3 linked regions of the Arabidopsis thaliana genome follow. The protein of the gene in region 2 interacts with the protein of the main gene of each other region in a biochemical or structural test. Each region holds a gene or a part of one and is shown on either strand. Other genes may lie near its edges.

Region 1 (6,030 bases), on a different chromosome or scaffold from region 2:
AATAGGATTGGTACAAAGGTGGTAATTATAAAGTGCATTTTTTTGGATATTGTTCAATTCAAATATTTTTACTTAGATTCTCAAACTATTGAAAAATATCCAAAATATCCGGAAAATTTCAATTTAATCGAATAAAAAAATTAGAATGGAAAGAATAAAAAATTATCGGGTACAATTAGAAGAGTAATGTGTTTAGTTTGGTTTTTACTCGGATACCAGTTCAGTTTTCACGTATTATTCGATCCTATAGGAGCAATTGTGAATTAGTTGTGAGATTTTGGGAGCATTCGCTTCCAGAACTTAGTGCTAGGAGAAATGCTATTTTCCTATAAGAGTTGTACGAGGAAGCGAGCAAGTACACAACAACCACAAAAGCTTTCAATACTTGTTTACTCCTAGGGTTTAAAACTAGAGGTTCTATAGATCTCTAAATTTTTTTGAACAAATGTGTTTTCCACACGTGATATTCTACAATACCACTCGAAAATTATCCATAATTGCTTTAAACTATTTTTTTGTTTAAATTATATAATTTGTACCGTTGTAAACTGATTATTTCAAATTATAATTAAAGCACTATAATTTCATATATTACATTCAACATATATTAAAATAAACTATAACCATGTATTTTTTTGTCTTCCTTTCCTATAAACATTGATTGGACTCTATCGTAAATTTTGTCGTTATCGCAAATTTTGTCGTTATCGATGAGTTTCTCAAAGTTTGGACCTTGATTATCTTGTTTGGAGATGTTCAAATCGTTATATCCAAATAGTGAACTTCTAATTTTCTTTTTTGATAATGTGACTTATTTGGAAAAGTATTCCAAAGTATTCAAATAAACCCTTTAAAAATCCATTAAATACATTTTAAATAAGTAAAATGCTCTCAACGAAGAGATATCATGGTAAATAACAACAGTGAGAGGATAAAATGTTAAATCAATTTATTTACAACTTCAAATAGGCGGACATCAAACCTACTTAGCACACTTTCTATTTTCAAATTGGTTATGGTTTGTCTATTAGTTGTTGCATCTATGTTTTTTAATTCTTATATCGGTGATCTTGATTTTGTTTTGGTGTATCTAAAATCTATTTTAGTTAAAGTGCAAGAAAATAAAATAAAAACTTAAGGTAAGAGATGAAAGTAAGCTTTAAATAAAACAGAGCACTTCTATGGTCGATTATAGAGCCAAGTTCGTTCCTCCATTTTGGCTTAATGCAATATTACAAGTAAATCTTATAAAACTTTCCATAAGTATCGTATTACCCATGGATACTATGATATATAAACTCTCGGAGGTGTAGTCCAGAAGAAATGATCCATATTTGCATACAGTAAACTTGATGGAAAAAATATGTGGTACTGTTGGAATTGTAGCTATTGAGTATCAAATTTGAGAAAAAGGTAAAAAAATATGTAAAATTTGGGTGGAAGAAAAGAATTACATAAAATTGAGAAATGTATGTAATTGACAAAATAATGTTTTCAAAACATAAAAACGTGATACCATTTAAATCCAAACCTTATATCATTTAACCATTTTTAGTAAAACTAATAGTAATGAATGGTCAATAATATAAGATTACATATTAAATAATTACTACTTTCAGAAAATTTCAATCAAATCTATAATATTCCTTTGAAAAAAAAGAAAGACAAATAGGTAAACTTCGATCGTATCAATCAAAGAATATATTTATTTTTCATCGTAACGTTTAATTCTAAGTCCTATTAAAAAACGTTAAATTTGATTTTTCTTACCATTTTTTTCTAAAAGGTGAGTTGTGTGTTGTGTCAGGTCCAAAATAAAAGTTTGTCGTGAGGTCAAAATCTACGGTTACAGTAATTTTAATAACCTGTGAATCTGTGTCTAATCGAAAATTACAAAACACCAGTTGTTGTTGCATGAGAGACTTGTGAGCTTAGATTAGTGTGCGAGAGTCAGACAGAGAGAGAGATTTCGAATATCGAATGTCGAAGATAACCTTAGGGAACGAGTCAATAGTTGGGTCTTTGACTCCATCGAATAAGAAATCGTACAAAGTGACGAATAGGATTCAGGAAGGGAAGAAACCTTTGTATGCTGTTGTTTTCAACTTCCTTGATGCTCGTTTCTTCGATGTCTTCGTTACCGCTGGTGGAAATCGGGTAAAAGATCTCGACTTTCAATTCGAAATCACTGTTTTCAATTCTGGGTCTGTTTAGGTTTTGATTCAGATTGATTGTAACATTAAGGCCTTTCCTTTTGTGTTTGATTTTGGATTCTGATTTCTAGCCTTTAGTGAGATTAAAAGATTGAAACTTTGCTTGATGCTATAGTCTAAGATTATGTAACATTTAGTTCAAACTTTCTGGTTTTGGAGATTTTGTGGAAGATATGGTTTTTGTTTTCTAATTTAAAGTGAACTCATTACCTTATACACTTGATTTGCATTCTGTTCTAAAAAAAATTGAAACTTTGGTTGATGTTGTTAGTCTGCTTATCTAAGGAGGTTCCTTTTGAAACGGTCATCAAGTGAGTTATGAAGCGTTTAGTTTAAGCTTTCCTGTATTGGAGATTTTGTGGAAGTTATTTTTTTTTCTAATTTTGAAACTAGATAGAGTGAAGTCATTACCTTATACATTAGACTGCTCTATTTTGTTTTCAATGTGGGTTCCGAATGTACCTGATAGTGGCTCTTTAGGCTCATTTGTATTCGTCGAAACATCGATCGGATACCCGTTTGGGCTTAGTAGGCTCTGATACCGCGTAAAGTTCTCGGGTTCCATGAAAAACCAATCGGTAATGAGTGGAGTTAATTTGTAATCGTCTTCGGTCGAGCATTTGGGATTAGTGGGCTTTGATACCATGTGAAAGTCCTTGGGGTCCAATCGGCAATGAGTAGAGTTAACTTGTAATCTTACACACTTGGTTAGGTCTCATTCTCTTTATAATGTTGTGTGCCTAACAGTTTCCGCACTAAGGTTGTTTGGTTGCTCAGTCTCAATATACTTATCTTAACTAGTTGTAGTTTTTTTCATCTTTCCTAGTTTCCGTTGGATTTTAAATTGAATGATTTACTAGTTAGAAATATTTGAGTTTCTCATAGAAGCTTTAACCAAGGGGTTCTTTCATTTAACCTTTACTTAGCTAGTTCATGAATCTCATTACTGCCATTGGTGTATCTCTTATTATGTAGATTACTCTGTACAATTGTCTCGGAGATGGTGCCATATCAGCATTGCAATCCTATGCTGATGAAGATGTAAGGAAGCATACATATTAGCTTTTCCATCAAATTAAAGTAAGTGATGTTTCACTGAGGCCATTTGGTTATATTTTGTCTATGTCCTCTGGAGAGCAGAAGGAAGAGTCGTTTTACACGGTAAGTTGGGCGTGTGGCGTTAATGGGAACCCATATGTTGCGGCTGGAGGAGTAAAAGGTATAATCCGAGTCATTGACGTCAACAGTGAAACGATTCATAAGGTATTATTGCATTTTTATGGATGTTCTATGTATCCTAGCAAATGATTCTATATCTTTCTTGTATAATCTGTGCTCGCAAATGTGCAGAGTCTTGTGGGTCATGGAGATTCAGTGAACGAAATCAGGACACAACCTTTAAAACCTCAACTTGTGATTACTGCTAGCAAGGTATATCTCTTGGCTTTCTTTTCTTCCTAAAGTATCCTGACTTCTTTTTTATTTGTTGGTGATTAAGAGCTGTTACGTTTTAATTGAATAAGGATGAATCTGTTCGTTTGTGGAATGTTGAAACTGGGATATGTATTTTGATATTTGCTGGAGCTGGAGGTCATCGCTATGAAGTTCTAAGTGTGGTGAGCCAATATTGTTTTATCTAATTCAGTTAGTTTTCTACAATAATATATAGAGACAATGTTAAGGGGAACCATCTTATTTTGAAAATTGTAGGATTTTCATCCGTCTGATATTTACCGCTTTGCTAGTTGTGGTATGGACACCACTATTAAAATATGGTCAATGAAAGGTACGATCGAGCACATATTGTAATAAACTTCCATTTTAAAAAACCTTTTGAGAAAAATGGCTTGTGGTTCGTTTGTATGATCTTCTTATTCTTTGGCTGTCTATAGAGTTTTGGACGTACGTCGAGAAGTCATTCACATGGACTGATGATCCATCAAAATTCCCCACAAAATTTGTCCAATTCCCTGTAAGTATTTTGTTTTAGCCTTGTCTTGTAACAACAAGTGACATACAAATATTGGTGATGGCCTTTGTAAATAACATTACTTCTATATGTAGGTATTTACAGCTTCCATTCATACAAATTATGTAGATTGTAACCGTTGGTTTGGTGATTTTATCCTCTCAAAGGTTAGTAAGTCAATGATGGTTAAGATTAATTCATTTGGTGTACTGTTAAAACACTTTACTCTTGTGTTGTTCTATCGGATTTTAGAGTGTGGACAACGAGATCCTGTTGTGGGAACCACAACTGAAAGAGAATTCTCCTGGCGAGGTTAGGATCTCATTGTTGCTCCAAACACAACATAATCATTCATTTCATCACATATATTTACAGTTGAACTTTTTGTGGTTTGCAGGGAGCTTCAGATGTTCTATTAAGATACCCGGTTCCAATGTGTGATATTTGGTTTATCAAGTTTTCTTGTGACCTCCATTTAAGTTCTGTTGCGATAGGTAATCAGAGAGCTCGTTAGATACAAATTTGCATTCTATAGATAGATTACTTCAACTTTTCTTATTCATTTTGTGACAAATTACTCGCTGGTTTGTTATCAGGTAATCAGGAAGGAAAGGTTTATGTCTGGGATTTGAAAAGTTGCCCTCCTGTTTTGATTACAAAGTAAGTTAGTTTCGGATTCAGATACAATGTTTGATCTTTAAGAAATGTTTTAGTCTTGACATGATTTTCTGTTGCCATATAGGTTATCACACAATCAATCAAAGTCTGTAATCAGGCAAACAGCCATGTCTGTCGATGGAAGGTATAAATCCATCTTCTCTCTCACCAATGCAGTGAAAATTTCTTAATGTTATTTATGACTCAATAGTTACTGTAAATCAAACCAAACTTTGGATTCTGACACACTGTTTCTTCCATGGGATTGTAGCACGATTCTTGCTTGCTGCGAGGACGGGACTATATGGCGCTGGGACGTGATTACCAAGTAGCGGTCTGAGTCTTGTAGGAATTGATGAATTAGGAGTGCGAAGAAATGAGATATCCATTCTTTTATTGTAATTCTGATCATGTTGCTACTCCCTGAGACCTTGAGATGCTCTTTGTAGCCTTGTTAACGTCCACCCTTGTACCACAGTGTATACCCTTTCTGGAGATTTTGTCTTATTCTCTTAGTTCAATACACAAGGCTGTATCCTGGAGCTTTATTGCAGGAACCACTCTCTTTCATAAGCTTTCTAGTATTCAAAGCATTGTCCCATGCTCCATTAGCTGCATACACACTGGCCAAATTGATGTAATTGACTGGTTTCCTCGGTTCCATACTCAGAAGCTGCGTGGCTGCTACTTTACTGAGCTGCACATTCCCATGGCGCCTGCATGCATCAAGAAAAGCTCCCCATGTTGATGAGCTAAGACTTACAATACCCTCTTTACTTCTTATCAGTGCATAAGCTTCTTCCAAGTAGCCACTGCGCGCAAGCATATCTATGATGCAAGATAAGTGCTCTTCTCGAGCTTCGATTCCGTGCTTGTTGATCATTGTGTCGTAAATCTTCCAGCCTAGTTCGGTTTGTCCTGTATGACTACAAGCAGAGAGGAGAGAAAGAAATGTAACGTCATTCGGTTTGATCCTTTCATGCTCCATTCTGTTATAAAGATCAATTGCTTTCTCAAAATTCCCATGTCTTCCATATCCTGCAATCAAAGAGGTCCATGATCTCACATCTTTCTCTTTCATCTCTTCGAAAGCCAGGACTGCATCCTCGATTTCCCCAGACTTTGCATACATATCTATCAGCGAATTCCCCAAAGCAACATCGAATCTGATTTGGGAAGATTTTAAGGCAA
Region 2 (7,611 bases):
CCACTCTGCTATTTGAGCAATTTCCTGGGAACCCGTTTCATATGTTCAACACTTTTTTCCCTTCTCTTTTCGATTACCAAAATTGCTTGTCGATAGTCAAGGAATTGTACCTCATATCTGCATCCTAAGGTCCACCACGAAGATTTCAAAGCACCCCTAGCTGCGTCTTTCGCTTCTAAGTTACGCCCAAGTCTACAAAATATATAGAGGTCTTAGAGTTTTCTAGAAAGGACGTAAGCATTTACCTGGGGGTCGTTCACAAGGGAGAAAGAGGGATGATGAGAAAGGATCATACGAACTTCAGTAAAACTTTTGCGTTGAAAGCGAATGGCCGGGCAAATCCGGGAAAGTTCCCTCTCTTTGTATAAAACTCGGTAGCCACCAAAGCTGAAACCTTGTATTAGCACGTGAAGATAGTTTAAAAAGAGAAAACACGTCAACTACAACAGGATAGATATAATTACTAGCCTTACATGGTCTCCATTCTCGATATGCCGAATAACTTTTCGTTCAAGAGAATCTGGAAACAATCCAACCTGAATTACAAAGCTAATAATCATATCCCAGTATCCATGTGCAGAAAAGATTCTGATATTAACAGGCTCAATATATGTACCTTTCTTAAAAGATAGGCATCTAAATCCATCAGTCTTGAACTGGCAAAGTCACCCTTACTGTAAAGTTTCTTCCCAGCTTCACCAGCAGCATTGAAGATTTCTTGGCTGCATTCTTCGGGTTTGGAAACATCTTCTTCCACCAATATTCTGTGAATGAACTGATCAACCTGAATGTTGGCCAATGAAGTCAGATATGAGAATGAACACTCAACAAAAATAACCCTAAATTAACGCATCAGTAATGCTATAAAAAGACTCATTACATTATTAGCTAGAAACCAAACCCCATGTTTCTGAACTTCCACCACAGGCATCTCCATACTGCAAACACCACAAACAATGATAAGCTACAAAAGAAGAGAAACATGACGATATTAAAAAAGCAAGGAGGATCTAACCTAGAAGGAGCTGTTGGCCACCGTAATAGAGCAATTGAAGAACCTGAAAAAGGAAAGTCATACAAACTTAATATGAAAGTGTTACAACCTCAGATAAGAACTTATGTACAAGTCCAGAATCATACCCGGGCTCATTTTCACCAACGGAATAGTAAGAGGTAACAAGCCTTGCTTGGCACCAGGAGAAACTATGGATTTACCTGATCCAATGTCATTACCACAAGCAAAAGTCACCATTCCGCAAGTTAACAAACAAAAACTTCGAAAATACGATCAGCAAGTCAGTGTAAGATTGATTTACCTCTAGCTGTGAATATATTCAGCAGCTGCATCAGATGCTTAGGAGGCTGAGCTTTTGCTATATCCTTAATGAAACATTCATGTTCTGCACATAATCAATCGTTAACTTCGATTCACTGATTGTTCAAATTCGGCACCGTAAGAATCATAAACCAATCTCAAGCCATCGCACAGCTTCCAGAAGTTGCAAATGAAATAGCGAAGATGTGAATCCCTCTCACCAGATAGTGAAGAAGAAGAGCAAAAGGATCTGGCGAAGTTTCTGCTGCCATGGAGAAGTATCAGTCTACGTTTCCGTCCGAAAACCGCCGCGCCGCGATGCATCTCAGAGTTTTCCGATCGCCGTACTGTTTCTCGTCCGATGAGATTACAGAGAGACTTCGAAAAGCTGTTGCTGAAAAAAAAAACAAAAAATAAAGCCCAAACAAATAGGGTTTAAGAGCCCATTAAATCAGAGCCCAGCAACGTTCGTGTTTGTTTTGTTCAGTTGATATAGAACCAGTCTCGAACTCTAGTAGATTCGTTGTCTCGAGCTACGTGATATTCCGGTAAACCGTCGCCGGAGATGTACAGTAGATAATTCAAATCGAGCTGCCACGTCGCTATTTTCCCACCAACTTTTTTTTTTTTAAATAATTGGAAAAAGTTTCTAATTTACACGCTTCCCAATTCGTAAACAATGTTCTTTAAAAGTAAAACGAAATTTTTTTTGGATTTGAAGATAAAAGATCCAAAATAAAAACAAAATTGAAGATAAATTTTTAGGGTTTATAACGACCCGCCAAATTCCTTCTCTCCTCCAACATTTCAGATTTCGCGACCCGGATCTTAACCCGGACCCGCATTTGTTTCGGTTCCGATCTGGTTTCTTGACAATGGCGTCAGAAGCTTCGCCTTCTTCTTCGGCCACCAGATCGGAGCCACCCAAAGACTCTCCGGTGCGTCAATCGTTTTTTTTTTTTTTCTTACTTTCTAAAAATGGAACTTTTTTCTTTGTGCTATTGAGGCATTGACTTTGATTTGCTTTAGTTTGAGTGAAGAGAACGAAACTCGATGGCTTGTTTGAGCTTCTCTATATGCTCGTTTTTAGATCTAGAGATTGCTGGATTGTGAGATATGAAGTTGTTTTTGGGTTCGTTTAGGAACCATTTTTGCTGCAATTGATAGTTTCTCTCATTGAACACTGTGTAAAGGAACCTCATTTTGATGTTTCAGGCGGAGGAGAGAGGTCCAGCTTCTAAGGAAGTATCAGAAGTAATAGAATCGCTAAAGAAGAAGCTTGCAGCTGATAGGTGTATATCAATAAAGGTTGCTATTTTTGTTTAGTTTTTTTTTTGTATGTTTTATGTGTTTCTGAATCTGATTGTTAGAAATTGATGTGTTTGTAACCAGAAAAGGATTGATGAAAACAAGAAGAATTTGTTTGCTATTACTCAAAGTTTTATGAGGTCTTCTATGGAACGAGGAGGTAGCTGTAAAGATGGCAGTGATCTTTTAGTTAAGAGGCAAAGAGATTCGCCAGGTATGAAAAGCGGAATCGATGAAAGTAATAACAACAGATATGTAGAAGATGGACCTGCCAGTTCAGGAATGGTTCAAGGATCTAGTGTCCCTGTCAAAATTTCCTTACGTCCTATCAAAATGCCTGATATCAAACGTTTGTCACCTTATACCACATGGGTTTTTCTGGACAGGTATGTTGACATTAATGTCGCAAGAGTACTTGAAAATATTCAAGTTGAAATGTAAGCCCCTCGCATAGTATCTTAACGTTATAATCACTCTTGAAATGATGCAGAAATCAAAGAATGACTGAAGACCAGTCTGTAGTGGGTCGAAGGAGAATTTATTATGATCAAACTGGCGGGGAAGCGCTTATCTGCAGTGATAGTGAAGAGGAGGCCATTGACGACGAAGAAGAAAAAAGAGATTTTTTGGAGCCTGAAGATTATATTATTCGGTTAGTATTAAATGGCAGGAGTTTAATCATTCTTGCATTTTGGTCTCTTAGTGTGAATCTCTTGTCTGCTATGTCAACTGTTATGCTGGTTTGTTCTCACTTATATTGTTGGATTAAATTTCCCTTCGTTTCTTCAGCATGACCCTTGAGCAACTAGGTCTTTCAGACTCAGTCCTGGCGGAACTAGCAAGTTTCTTGTCTAGAAGTACTAGTGAAATCAAGGTATCAACAACTTTTTTCTCTGCCTATTGCTTGTGTGAACTATCATGTGCTATTTTCTTTAGAATCAAGCACTTCAGTTGTAGGATTTCAAAACAGAGTGAGGGATGCATTGTTTAAGGAAATCCAATTAGTATTGTTCCAGCCCTTTCCCAATTGGCTTTTTGCAGAGATATGAACACCGACCATCTTATACAGGCAAGACATGGAGTGCTTATGAAGGAAAAAGAAGTATCCGAGAGTGGCGATAATCAAGCAGAGAGCTCCCTTCTCAACAAAGATATGGAAGGAGCATTAGATTCTTTCGATAACCTGTTCTGCCGTAGATGCCTTGTTAGTCCATTTGATTTTCTCAGGCTAATGTTTCATGGGTTATTGCTTAATGATCGAGCAAACATTGGTCTCTTTTTAACTTTTGTATGCATCTATGCAGGTATTTGATTGCCGGCTTCATGGGTGTTCACAGGATCTCATTTTTCCGGTGAGTTTAGTGCCAACCGAAAAAATCTTACTATAACTTTAGTGTTACTTATCTAATTTTATGGATTTTTAGGCTGAGAAACCAGCTCCATGGTGTCCTCCTGTAGATGAAAATTTAACCTGTGGTGCAAACTGCTATAAAACGGTAAATTTGTTATTTTCTCGTTGCTAAGCTCATCTCCTAGAAAGACTGGTTTAACAAAAAGCGTTGTTTTCAATTTATCAGCTTCTCAAGTCTGGAAGATTTCCGGGATATGGCACCATTGAAGGTAAAACTGGCACTTCATCAGATGGTGCAGGTACTAAAACCACACCCACGAAGTTCTCCAGCAAACTTAATGGGAGAAAACCAAAGACCTTCCCAAGTGAAAGTGCATCGTCTAATGAAAAGTGCGCACTAGAAACAAGTGACTCAGAGAATGGACTACAGCAGGATACCAATTCCGATAAAGTTTCATCATCGCCAAAGGTGAAAGGTAGTGGGAGACGAGTAGGTCGTAAGAGGAACAAAAACCGAGTTGCTGAGCGAGTTCCTCGTAAGACTCAGAAGAGGCAGAAGAAGACAGAAGCCTCGGATAGTGATTCCATCGCCAGTGGAAGTTGTTCACCCAGCGATGCAAAACATAAAGATAATGAAGATGCTACTTCCTCTTCTCAGAAGCATGTAAAATCTGGGAACTCCGGGAAGTCAAGGAAGAATGGCACTCCTGCCGAAGTCTCCAATAATTCTGTGAAGGATGACGTTCCTGTTTGCCAGTCAAATGAGGTTGCGTCAGAGCTTGATGCGCCGGGTAGTGATGAAAGTCTAAGGAAAGAAGAGTTTATGGGTGAAACTGTATCTCGAGGAAGATTGGCTACAAATAAGTTGTGGAGACCACTTGAGAAAAGCCTTTTTGATAAAGGTGTTGAGATTTTTGGAATGAATAGGTGGGTAATTTTGATGTATTTAGCTACTGCTAAATTATCATTCTGCTTCAGGTTTTTCAATTTGTGGAATATAGTCATATGGATTCTTTGTTTCTTTGCAGCTGCTTGATTGCTAGAAATCTTTTGAGTGGTTTCAAATCATGTTGGGAGGTCTTCCAATACATGACGTGCTCGGAAAATAAAGCTTCCTTCTTTGGAGGTGATGGATTGAATCCTGATGGCTCTTCCAAGTTCGATATCAATGGAAATATGGTATATTAACACTAAACCTTTTTGACTTTGTTTACAAATTCCTGATAAAATCGATTTATTTCTCTTCGGATTTAATGCTTTAGTTTCTGGACTAACCAGGTTAATAACCAAGTGAGGAGAAGGTCAAGATTTCTACGTAGGAGAGGCAAAGTGCGGCGCTTGAAGTATACCTGGAAGTCTGCTGCATATCATTCAATTAGGAAAAGAATTACTGAGAAGAAAGACCAGCCCTGCCGTCAGTTTAATCCATGTAACTGCAAAATTGCTTGTGGGAAGGAATGTCCTTGTTTGCTAAACGGGACTTGCTGCGAGAAGTACTGCGGGTAATGTAATCTATGATTATCCACATCTGTATTTCTTAGCTTTGAATCTCATTACCAACAAACTATATTTTCTGTGTAGTTGCCCAAAGAGCTGCAAGAATAGGTTTAGAGGTTGTCATTGTGCCAAAAGTCAGTGTCGAAGCCGCCAGTGTCCATGCTTTGCTGCAGATCGGGAATGTGACCCAGATGTTTGTAGAAACTGCTGGGTCATGTAAGTCTTATTGGGGATGCAAATCCATCCTAATTGGTTTCTTAGAAAATGCTCAAGAAATGCAACTTTTTTTTTAGTAGTTCCAGATGCACTTATACTGTGTCTGAATGAATTTGAATGTGTAGTGGTGGGGATGGTTCGCTTGGGGTCCCAAGCCAAAGAGGCGATAATTATGAGTGCAGGAATATGAAATTGCTCCTGAAACAACAACAAAGGGTAAATACTTAGCCTTGTTAACTAAATATCTATGATCTGCAATCAAATGATTAAACATGAAATGGCTAAATTTCCTCCTCTTTTTTATGTTAATTTCAGGTTTTACTTGGAATATCTGATGTTTCTGGTTGGGGAGCTTTCTTAAAGGTATATTAGGTTCAAAATTTGTTAAACTGATAAGTCCTTCAAAGATTAATCTATGTTTAGAGTATGAACTTGCCTTAAGAACAATTATTTTTCCTTCTTACAGAACAGTGTAAGTAAGCATGAATACCTTGGGGAATACACAGGAGAGCTGATCTCACATAAAGAGGCAGATAAACGCGGGAAGATATACGATCGCGAGAACTGCTCTTTTCTCTTCAATCTAAACGATCAGGCACGTCTCAGCAGCTTTGAAATGTCCCAACTCTCTTTCTCTCTAGTCTCTAGGTTGTCTTCAAATTTTAAAATGTTTTTGGATTGTGCTGCAGTTTGTGCTAGATGCTTACAGGAAAGGAGATAAACTGAAATTCGCCAACCATTCTCCTGAACCTAACTGTTACGCAAAGGTAAAAATGTGAAAAGTGCAAGTTAAAGATACGGTTTTCGCATGATGGGTATGTTCTGTTTTTCCTCAAAATCTTTGTATCTGTTCAAGGTCATCATGGTTGCTGGAGATCACAGGGTGGGGATCTTCGCAAAAGAGAGGATACTGGCTGGAGAAGAACTATTTTACGATTACCGGTATGAGCCAGATCGAGCTCCAGCTTGGGCCAAAAAACCTGAAGCTCCTGGTTCTAAGAAAGACGAAAATGTTACACCTTCTGTTGGTAGACCCAAGAAGCTTGCTTAGCAACAAAAGAAACAACCATTTTTTTGTCAATTCTTTGGTTACAGGTGGAAGAACGCTTTAATCCTCATTACTCTCCACACGGAAGAACACATTGAAACAAATTCATACATTTTGCTGAGTCTAAAGAAAAATTGTATTCGTTGGATTAAAATTTCCTTTTTTCGTTTTACATTTCTGGATTATCATTTTATTGTACTGAGACTCGGGTTAAAGTTTTTAAATTACAGATGAGAAACTTGGTGAGCTTTGGAGCTGACATCAATGTGGTATTCCTCACACATCACAATCTATATAAATTAAATTAGGCGTCAGTGTACATTTGGTGATCAGAAAGTAACAAAACCAAATCAGAAAACGAACATGAGCAGCCAAATTAAAATGTACATTGACGCATAAACCTAAGAATTAAGATATACAAGAATGTTTGCGATAACCAAGATATAAATGCATCTATTCTATTTTCTCTTTGAAGGGTCCATCTTCATGCATCAGTCTGATGACATAATCCATCTGCGATGCACAAAGTTACATTGTTTAAGTCGATGATCCAATTACATAGCTATGTTTATATACTCTTTTAACACCATAACTTCAAAACATACCTGATTTGATTCGCGCACTAAAAACTCGTCTATGGCTTGCCTGAAACCTTCATCGAATATGTAATGGCAACTATATGTTTTAACGGGAAGGTAGCCTCGCTGAATCTTATGCTCACCCTGCGCTCCAGCTTCTACCGTTTTCAGATTAAGCTCTATCGCTGCTTCAATTGCCTATGAATCCCATTATCAGTTTGTGAGTTTTAATCAAGTATGTCTCGGCGAAAACTCTTGAGACTTTGAAACAACAAGACCAACCTGGTAATAGCATGCT
Region 3 (8,089 bases), on a different chromosome or scaffold from region 2:
AGTTTGTCGTGATGATCTCTTACCTGATTTCGTTAGAAAGGAGAAAAAATCATAACAAATGAAGATTTTTACGGTGGGCGGCGGCAACGAACAAAGTAGGTTATCTTATCGAAACTATGAGGTTAAACAAAAGATTACACATATTTATAGAATAACAAAATAGGATTATGGTAACTCAAAGTCTCTAATATACATCTTTTTATATCAACCACTCGTTTGTTTTAACCCAATTCTGATTGGTTACTGAAGATAAAGTGTAATCCACAATGGCTTCTAAATGTTTTAAATTTTAGATTAGATTAGATTATCATTAGATACCAGATAGTTCCTCTTGTTGAATGGCTCATATACTCTTAGATCAAATTGTGTGTGTGTAATCACCTAATTGTACTTCGGACTGAAATGAACAGTATTTGAACATAACCGATAGTGTTAACACTTGTATTTCATAGTTTGATCAAGTCTTCAATTTAAAACGAGAAGATAAAATATATCCGAAACCATACAAGATTTTTTCTTGGTAAATTATATTTGCTAGGAGGAACACTTTAACTTGGCTATATAATCAACAATTACAAAATTCAGACAAAAACGCACTCATATAACAACTACCTTTCTCTCTGTTTAAGCTTCCGAGTCTCCTCTATCCATTTGGAACTCTTCAAGTTCATGGTGTTTCTCACTATACCATTTTTGCTCAATCCAATGAAATCCAAAATTTTGGATCAAAAGAACCAAATGAATTCTTCCAAAACTAAAGGAGAAGAAGCAATCCATGGCTGTGCCCGGGATATACAGAATGGCAACAAGGGTCACGACTGAGCAAGCCATCCATGCATTAGAGAAGCTTGCTTGTCCTTCTTTTCGACGGTCCTCCTGGGAACATCTTCATGATCCATCCTAGAACCCTTTCTACCACCTAAAGAGAGAGAGAGATATCATTAAACTGTGGTCTTTCTCAGATTGAACTTTATAAACTCTGAACACAGAGAACATGAGAGAGTACCTCATCGCCTTCATCTGCAATCGGTGTTCTCTCTTGAACAACATGAGTGTCCGGCTGCTGCTTTTCTGGTGAAACATTGTCTATGGCCATCTTCTGCGCTGTTACAAGCTCTAACCTTTGCGTCTGCGCTTCAAGTTTTCTGGATAACTCTTTGTTCAGCTCCTATGGTTATGAAACATGAGAAATATAAATGATTTGGGGATACAGAATAAACACACAAACAGTAAAACGTAACTTATAAAAGACCCAGAGAAAATAAGGAGCGCAGGGACCAGCATGGAAAAAAAAAAGAGTATAAGAAGAAGACAAGGCCTTGGATTTTGAGTCTATGAGGACTCGGAGTACCATATAGAAAGCTCAGCCAGAGAACTTATGCATGATGTTATGGTGACAGAAAATTCTTACTCAAGTCAAAGAAGACATGTTTTTAGCCCCATGAATTTATGTTACTGTACCTGCACATGCGCACTTCGAGATAACTCAGATGACAGTGCTTGCACCAGTTCTTCCTTCTCAATTGCCAACTGCAGCCGAAGAAACAAAATAATCATCACGTTATTATCCAGATTGAGAAAATGATAGCACCTTGAGAATTAAAAAGTATTGCTTCTCACAGCTAAAGAAAACATCAAATCAATCATCCATAAAAACTACCTCAGCAATCAGCGTATTAATGTTATGAATCACTCTCATCTGATCAGCTGGGACGCTCAATGAAAAGCCTTCAAGAGTTAATTGTCTAGTTTCAGGAATGATAGCTGTATTAGATGAATCACTTTCGAGCAGAGTAGTAGAATCTGTTTCCTGGTTGGAGCTCTCTGGCGTAGTATCTGAGATTGCTGCACGAAGAATCCAAAGAGTCAGGGGACTGGTTAGAAGTCAAAGATTAAACTTGAAACTTTTTATCTAAGGTTTGCCGAAGATGCAAATGTATGAGTTTAGACATCCAAAATACGCTTCAGATTTCTTAAATAGTGTGCAAAGACCATTACCAAGACCTTCTGTAGAGGTTGACACGTTCTTTCTGCTAGTTGAGTTTTTACTCAGATCAGTGGATTTTCCACCAGATGAAGCTTTCTGCACCATAGTTTGTAGGACCTTCTTCTCTGCAACAGTAGATGCAGAAAATAAGCTAATGCATTGTTCAATCACATTACTCCTTAGAGGAGTAGATTTCAATGTGCATACCTTCCTGAAGAGCTTTAATAGTAGATTGTAAATCTTGACGATCTTTCTCTAAGCTCTGCAATTTTTTCCTATTGAAGTTGATAGGTAAGATAAAATAGAACCCAGAAAGCCATAAAAGTTACAGACTGAATCCATAGGGAGTTTTCCAGTATCCCACGGTTCTTTTTGGATCAAACATCATGTAAAGGTGAAGTTACGGACATGAATAGAATACAGTAAAGAGCCTACTTGTAAGATAACATTTCTGTTTGTGCCTTCTCCAGTTCCCTCTCCAGCTTTAACTCATTAGATCTGAGTCTGAGAGCCTAATATATGTTCCAAGAAAAATCCAAGCTAAACAGGTAAGCATCTGAAGGTAGACGAAACAGATATTTCACAGCTGAAATATTCAAAAACTAAACTAAACATGTCACTGCACACTTTTGCAGCTAAGTAAGCCAAAAATGTTAGTTGTTTTTTCAAATTTAATGTTATTGTAAGACATAACATCCAAAGCCAAATACCTTATCTTCCAAACTGATGACTTCAGAAGCCAGTATTTGGGAACGCTCATCAGCAGCATTACATTCTAGCTGCGCGTTTGCATACTCAACCCTGACAGACTCAAGTTCGCCCTGGACAGAATTAGTGTTAAATCAAGTAACAGCTTTTAAAGTAATCTAGAAATAGCTCCAGTGCATGAAAGAACATGGCATGCAATTACTCATCCAGAATCATACTCCAATTTTTAGTTTTGTAAGTAAACATCAAACAATCTAATAGTACAGGGATGTAGAAAAATGCAATATCATGCTTTAATAAAGTATACTGTTCGATCATATACAACTGGAATTTGGTGACTGTATAGGCAGTTAATACTTACCATTTGGGCTTGGATCTGTTGATATAGCCTCTCCATGTCATCTTTTAGTTGGTTGACAAGACCTCTCTGTATGAGATAGAAACGAGAACAAGTATTACATAAAACATTGGGAGGATTTGTGACTATTATAAAGCTCAGTGGACACCATGTCTTATAGCAAACAATATATAACATCATGCATTCTCAAAAGTAGACAAGCCCAGTAAATGTCAACTAGGTAGACATCCTGAAGCACCTTCTCCAAACACATAGTCTAACACTGTGTGTTTTCGCAACAAAGTCTAAACATGGTTTAATTCAAGAGCATAACGCTTTAACGAAAGACTCAAATCACATCCATCCACATCATGAATAATAAATATTCTTATATTTCCATTTCCCAAGGATCCTAAAACCACATGACAGTATACTCTTGCTAATAATTAAGCATGATAAAATGCAAATAATTAGTCATCTACTATAAGTGGTCAAGATTGTTTTCTAGTACAAAAATCAGAGTTGGCCAGTATTCAGCTAGGATGCCATAAGCTTGCATGTACCTGCTGGTTATAAGTGTCTGTCATTGAAGAATTCTCTGATGCTAAGGATTCTGCCAGTGCACGTGAAGCATCAAGATCCCTTTGCAGTGAAAACTTTTCTTGTGTTAAATCCTCAATATGCTGCAAGTGAAAAATGAAACTGTAGCTCAGAAAAGTCACAGGACAAAGGGTGTACAAAGACGAACAGTGTTAGCTAACATCCTAAAGAAAAATCAAAGAGCAATCCAAGACAAGGTAAGAAGATTATGATCCAGCCAGCGAGAGGCATCCACTCAATATCTTTGACGATTTGGTCGTCTTTATATAACATCAGATCAATTCCCCACTTAGTTCTTCTAAATGAGAAGACCATACTAAGTAGCAATTGACAATACATTAACAAAATAAAAGATGGTGCAAGAAATAAGTATCTTACCTGTTCCAGAGCAGTAAAATCATCATTTTGTTTTGGCATAGAGAAATCAGTAAAACCTGGCATTACTCCATTGGCAGCAGGATATAAAGAACTCCGAAACTTTTCAAATGGATTAGGATAATCAGATGCTCCGCTTGTCAAAGATGATGGTCCATTACTGTCTCTTCTCCCTGATATATAAGATGGCCCAAAACCATCACTGCCAGATAGTTGGGAACCACTGGATGTAACCAAATCCGCTTGTATCTCAGGGTGTTGATATTGAGTCTCTGGAGCTCTTGATATATTGAGGGAATCAAGGAAAGACGGACGAGATCTCTTCACAGTTGCTTCACTCTTAGCTGAGTTTAATGGTGAAGAGCTTGTGATATTCACACTGAAATCTGAAGGTTCAGAAGGTCGAGATGATGTGTCTGGAGAATTAAACAAATAACTGCTTGACAAAGTTGGCTTCTGCACAATGCTACCTCCTAGTTCACCACTTCCCTGTTGGTTTTTGGCAACTTCGTCAAAAGACCCTGCCATCCTGGTAGTAGGTTGTAGAGAGTCTAGCAACAAAAACCGTAATGATAAATTAGGTTGTTGCCTTTAAGGAACAAAAAAGAAGGAGGGTTAGGACAAAATACATTACTACATTAACCTCATATGATAGCCACGTACCTTTTCTGGATGAGGTTAATCCACTGCCGTGAATGAAACCATCCATTTGCATTGAGGTTCCAGAAAAAAGAGATGCAGTTTCTCTTAGAGTAGAAGCACGATCAAAACTTTCACTCGATTGCTTGTCTATATTGCTATAAGGTACAACTTCAGGCCTAGTATTCACTGTTAAGTCCTTCGATGAACCTATCAACTCTAAGCTATTAGAAAAATCAACTTTGCCCACTGATTCCTGACCATCATCTTGTCTACTTCTTTCTTTGCTTCCATCATCCATTGCTGTATTCGAAAATGATAAATTATATACATCTTTGGTATGGGTTTCATTTGAGGTAGATTCAGCAGATTGCTTGAGAGGTCCATTAGAGATAGATGCACCAGCTCCATCTGAATCTATGACACTTTGTTGGCTATTATCAACAGGTTGTGTATTCTGTGATGCCTTTTTAGCTTTTTCTGCTGCTTTTCGTTTACGAAACTGCTCAAGCTGAAAATCCAGAAATTAAACGATAAGAAACACACAATTTTACGCATTCATCTTTAAAAAAAACAAGCTTTTTGTCGAATAAATCTCAATTCTGATTGCATGCGTTAGGACATCAATCTCAATTCCAATATAAACAACCCACCTAAAAAAAATGATCAATTGACTCAGCACCGACAAATTTTAGGGGCAAATTCAAAGTAACGAGAGAATCAAACAAAAGATGATGATTATGATGATGATGATCTACCTTACGGCGTCCAGCTTCAACGTCCTCTTGCCTCCGGGAACTAGTAGCTGATGCCATTGAAAAATACTCGAAATCTCGCAGAGGGAAATGTTCCCTCTCCAATTGCTTCAAATCAATGCTTTTTCAATTACCATTGAATCCGTTTTAGCCAAAGCCATTCCCGGAAATCGCCGTTGTTATGATTGAGGAGAAAACTCAAATTTCAAAAAGCCCAGATCCTGACGCACAGATCGAGAAGATATCGTTGAAATTTCGGGGTGGAGGAAACAGATGGAGATCTCGAGAAAACAAGTTCAAAAATCGATGGAATTGTCAAACAAAGAAATCGAAATTAGGGTTTTCGATCTGAAGGAGAGGAGGACGAAGTTCAAATATTAATTTTGTTCGTCAGATCTCTTTTTAACAGATCCCTTTCTTTTTATTTTCCCCTTCTCTGCTTTGAATTAAACGTTTTTACTCGTTTTTTTTTTTCTTTGTTTGGTTGCAATTTTTTTTTAACGTTCACTCATTGTTTGTTTGGTGAAATTTAGATTTCATGTAGCTTTTGATTTTAAAAATGTATAAGAAGTGTGTAATGTATTTGTTCATAGTCTGTTGTATTTTTTGAAAAATAAGAGAGAATGTTTAGGTAGTAAGAAAATTAAGAGAAAAAAAAATGGAGAGAAATGAGTCGTGATGGACACATATGACAGGTAAAGAAAATAAATAGGAGCATCCATGTGGCCCGTGGAACATGACGACAGCCCACCAAATTACTCATGTTTTTAAAGAGAGAAATTGACAAATTTTAATATCAATAGAAGCTTCAAATTCCTCTACTTTAGGACAACTAAAAGAGCAAAGTAATGAAGAAAAAAAGTGAAGCAAGGTCAACCTTTTGGTATCATCTAGGTGTTTATTATGGGGTTTGGTTCACTTTTTTGTTTGCATTGTTTGGATTTTGGATTTCTTTTGGAGTTCTATTTCATATTATCAGTTTTTATCTTTGCGTATTTAAGAAACTTTTACTGAGGTAAAATATTACACAAATTGCCACTGATTTTAGAGAACAAATTCAATTTAAAAAACTCGAAACACCGATTTGTTTTGTAGAGCTGAAGCAAACCTAAACCAAAAACCTAATCCAACCGGAACCATTTAATTACCGTTGGTTTTCTTTGGTTTGGTGTGGTTCAGTTTGATTAGATTCAAGGATATTTAGATCAAGCGATATAATTTTATTTTATTTTTTGGTTAAACGCTATATAAAATTTGACATGTATATTATGGCAAAATCACAAATGCTGGTTATCAAAAGATGAAAAAATGAAATCTGTTTCTTTGGGGCAAAAAATATTACAGAAATTAAATTGGAAAATGAGATTAACGACTTTTTTTTTTTTTTTTTTCGTCAAATGAGATTAACGATTTTTAAGTTTGAAATGAAAGTTAAACCCTAAAGAGGCCTAAAACCCTAAAAGGCTCATATAGTAACTAGCAGCTGCTTCTAGACTCTTCTCCTTCGCTTATTAAGCCCTCTCAACTCTTCTTCTCTCTCTCTCTCTCTCTCCGCCTGTTCTCCATTGATCTAATCTAACTCGCTCATCAGAATCATCTCTTCATCGTTAATCCTCTTCCTTCTCACTCACCATGTATCGTTTCGCTTCTAACCTCGCCTCCAAGGCAAGGTAATGAACTCACTTTCTTCGTGTTTTTTATTCACTCTCATTGGAAGCTAATGAGGAATTAAATCGATTTGGGTTTTGATCTACTCTCTTCAAATTCATCTGGGCTCTCGAAATCTACTAGCTTAATCCCGATTCTGAATTGCCAGTTCTGATAATAAAAATGGTGTCTTTATTGTTCTCTGTTCTTCAGGATTGCTCAAAACGCTCGCCAGGTTTCCAGCAGAATGAGCTGGAGCAGGAACTATGCAGCGAAAGAGATTAAGTTTGGTGTTGAAGCTCGAGCTTTGATGCTTAAGGGTGTTGAAGATCTTGCTGATGCTGTTAAAGTCACCATGGGTCCCAAGGTACTCTTTTTCTTCTACACATTTTGATTTGATTTGGACATGATTTGGCCAGAGGTTCCTTCCTTAGCATGTGATTTGGGTGACCGGTTGATTCTGTATCGAATTTGGTCTAAGACTTTCTGCTTTATGTGATTCTAATTTTGAAGGGACGTAATGTTGTGATTGAGCAAAGTTGGGGTGCTCCTAAAGTGACAAAAGATGGTGTTACTGTTGCCAAAAGTATTGAGTTCAAAGACAAAATTAAGAACGTTGGTGCTAGTCTTGTGAAGCAGGTTGCAAATGCTACTAATGATGTTGCTGGTGATGGTAAGATATTTCATTTTGATTGATTATGCGGTTCATAGTTGTAGAAACTTTGCAAAACTATGTACCAATGCTTGTTTAACTTGTCATGCAGGTACTACTTGTGCTACTGTCCTCACCCGGGCTATATTTGCCGAAGGATGCAAATCAGTTGCCGCAGGAATGAATGCAATGGACTTGCGAAGAGGTATTTCCATGGCAGTTGATGCTGTGGTGACAAACCTTAAAAGCAAGGCTAGGATGATCAGCACATCTGAAGAGATTGCTCAGGTTGGAACCATTTCTGCTAATGGAGAGAGGGAAATTGGTGAACTTATTGCCAAGGCTATGGAGAAGGTTGGCAAAGAAGGTGTTATCACAATCCAAGTAAG

The links.
Region 1: the proteins of CLF (region 2) and FIE form a complex in vitro, tested with the Arabidopsis thaliana proteins (one study listed by BioGRID).
Region 3: the proteins of CLF (region 2) and BLI form a complex in vitro, tested with the Arabidopsis thaliana proteins (one study listed by BioGRID).

What each region holds. Positions count from the first base shown.
Region 1 is NC_003074.8:7,248,205-7,254,234, reverse strand, and holds FIE (Transducin/WD40 repeat-like superfamily protein), read left to right. Parts: upstream 1-1,782; 5' UTR 1,783-1,980; coding exon 1,981-2,157; intron 2,158-3,000; exon of another isoform or gene 3,001-3,188; coding exon 3,189-3,254; intron 3,255-3,353; coding exon 3,354-3,476; intron 3,477-3,563; coding exon 3,564-3,644; intron 3,645-3,736; coding exon 3,737-3,829; intron 3,830-3,923; coding exon 3,924-3,999; intron 4,000-4,105; coding exon 4,106-4,185; intron 4,186-4,277; coding exon 4,278-4,349; intron 4,350-4,434; coding exon 4,435-4,494; intron 4,495-4,579; coding exon 4,580-4,676; intron 4,677-4,778; coding exon 4,779-4,842; intron 4,843-4,924; coding exon 4,925-4,984; intron 4,985-5,110; coding exon 5,111-5,171; 3' UTR 5,172-5,356; downstream 5,357-6,030. Other genes in the region: AT3G20730 (PPR superfamily protein), read right to left, coding at 5,357-6,030. UniProt on the Arabidopsis thaliana protein: Polycomb group (PcG) protein. PcG proteins act by forming multiprotein complexes, which are required to maintain the transcriptionally repressive state of homeotic genes throughout development.
Region 2 is NC_003071.7:9,953,380-9,960,990, forward strand, and holds CLF (SET domain-containing protein), read left to right. Parts: upstream 1-1,712; 5' UTR 1,713-2,190; coding exon 2,191-2,253; intron 2,254-2,530; coding exon 2,531-2,623; intron 2,624-2,707; coding exon 2,708-3,009; intron 3,010-3,113; coding exon 3,114-3,275; intron 3,276-3,412; coding exon 3,413-3,497; intron 3,498-3,634; exon of another isoform or gene 3,635-3,668; coding exon of another isoform or gene 3,669-3,692; coding exon 3,693-3,827; intron 3,828-3,927; coding exon 3,928-3,975; intron 3,976-4,047; coding exon 4,048-4,119; intron 4,120-4,200; coding exon 4,201-4,901; intron 4,902-5,002; coding exon 5,003-5,153; intron 5,154-5,252; coding exon 5,253-5,476; intron 5,477-5,555; coding exon 5,556-5,687; intron 5,688-5,812; coding exon 5,813-5,903; intron 5,904-6,002; coding exon 6,003-6,050; intron 6,051-6,153; coding exon 6,154-6,282; intron 6,283-6,376; coding exon 6,377-6,454; intron 6,455-6,543; coding exon 6,544-6,738; 3' UTR 6,739-7,007; downstream 7,008-7,611. Other genes in the region: AT2G23370 (cyclin delta-3), read right to left, coding at 1-24, 111-192, 300-394, 474-536, 617-784, 881-938, 1,016-1,058, 1,141-1,215 and 2 more; AT2G23390 (acyl-CoA), read right to left, coding at 7,189-7,248, 7,341-7,511, 7,596-7,611. UniProt on the Arabidopsis thaliana protein: Polycomb group (PcG) protein. Catalytic subunit of some PcG multiprotein complex, which methylates 'Lys-27' of histone H3, leading to transcriptional repression of the affected target genes, mainly abscisic acid (ABA) responsive elements.
Region 3 is NC_003074.8:8,661,980-8,670,068, forward strand, and holds BLI (BLISTER), read right to left. Parts: upstream 6,062-8,089; 5' UTR 5,462-6,061; coding exon 5,405-5,461; intron 5,158-5,404; coding exon 4,671-5,157; intron 4,559-4,670; coding exon 4,011-4,558; intron 3,716-4,010; coding exon 3,596-3,715; intron 3,123-3,595; coding exon 3,057-3,122; intron 2,809-3,056; coding exon 2,698-2,808; intron 2,500-2,697; coding exon 2,423-2,499; intron 2,263-2,422; coding exon 2,195-2,262; intron 2,113-2,194; coding exon 1,999-2,112; intron 1,846-1,998; coding exon 1,661-1,845; intron 1,531-1,660; coding exon 1,462-1,530; intron 1,169-1,461; coding exon 1,007-1,168; intron 920-1,006; coding exon 839-919; 3' UTR 434-838; downstream 1-433. Other genes in the region: HSP60 (heat shock protein 60), read left to right, coding at 7,034-7,071, 7,262-7,415, 7,562-7,721, 7,813-8,084. UniProt on the Arabidopsis thaliana protein: Is required for normal leaf, flower and seed development and controls cotyledon and leaf patterning by inhibiting premature differentiation. Regulates the expression of a subset of PcG target genes.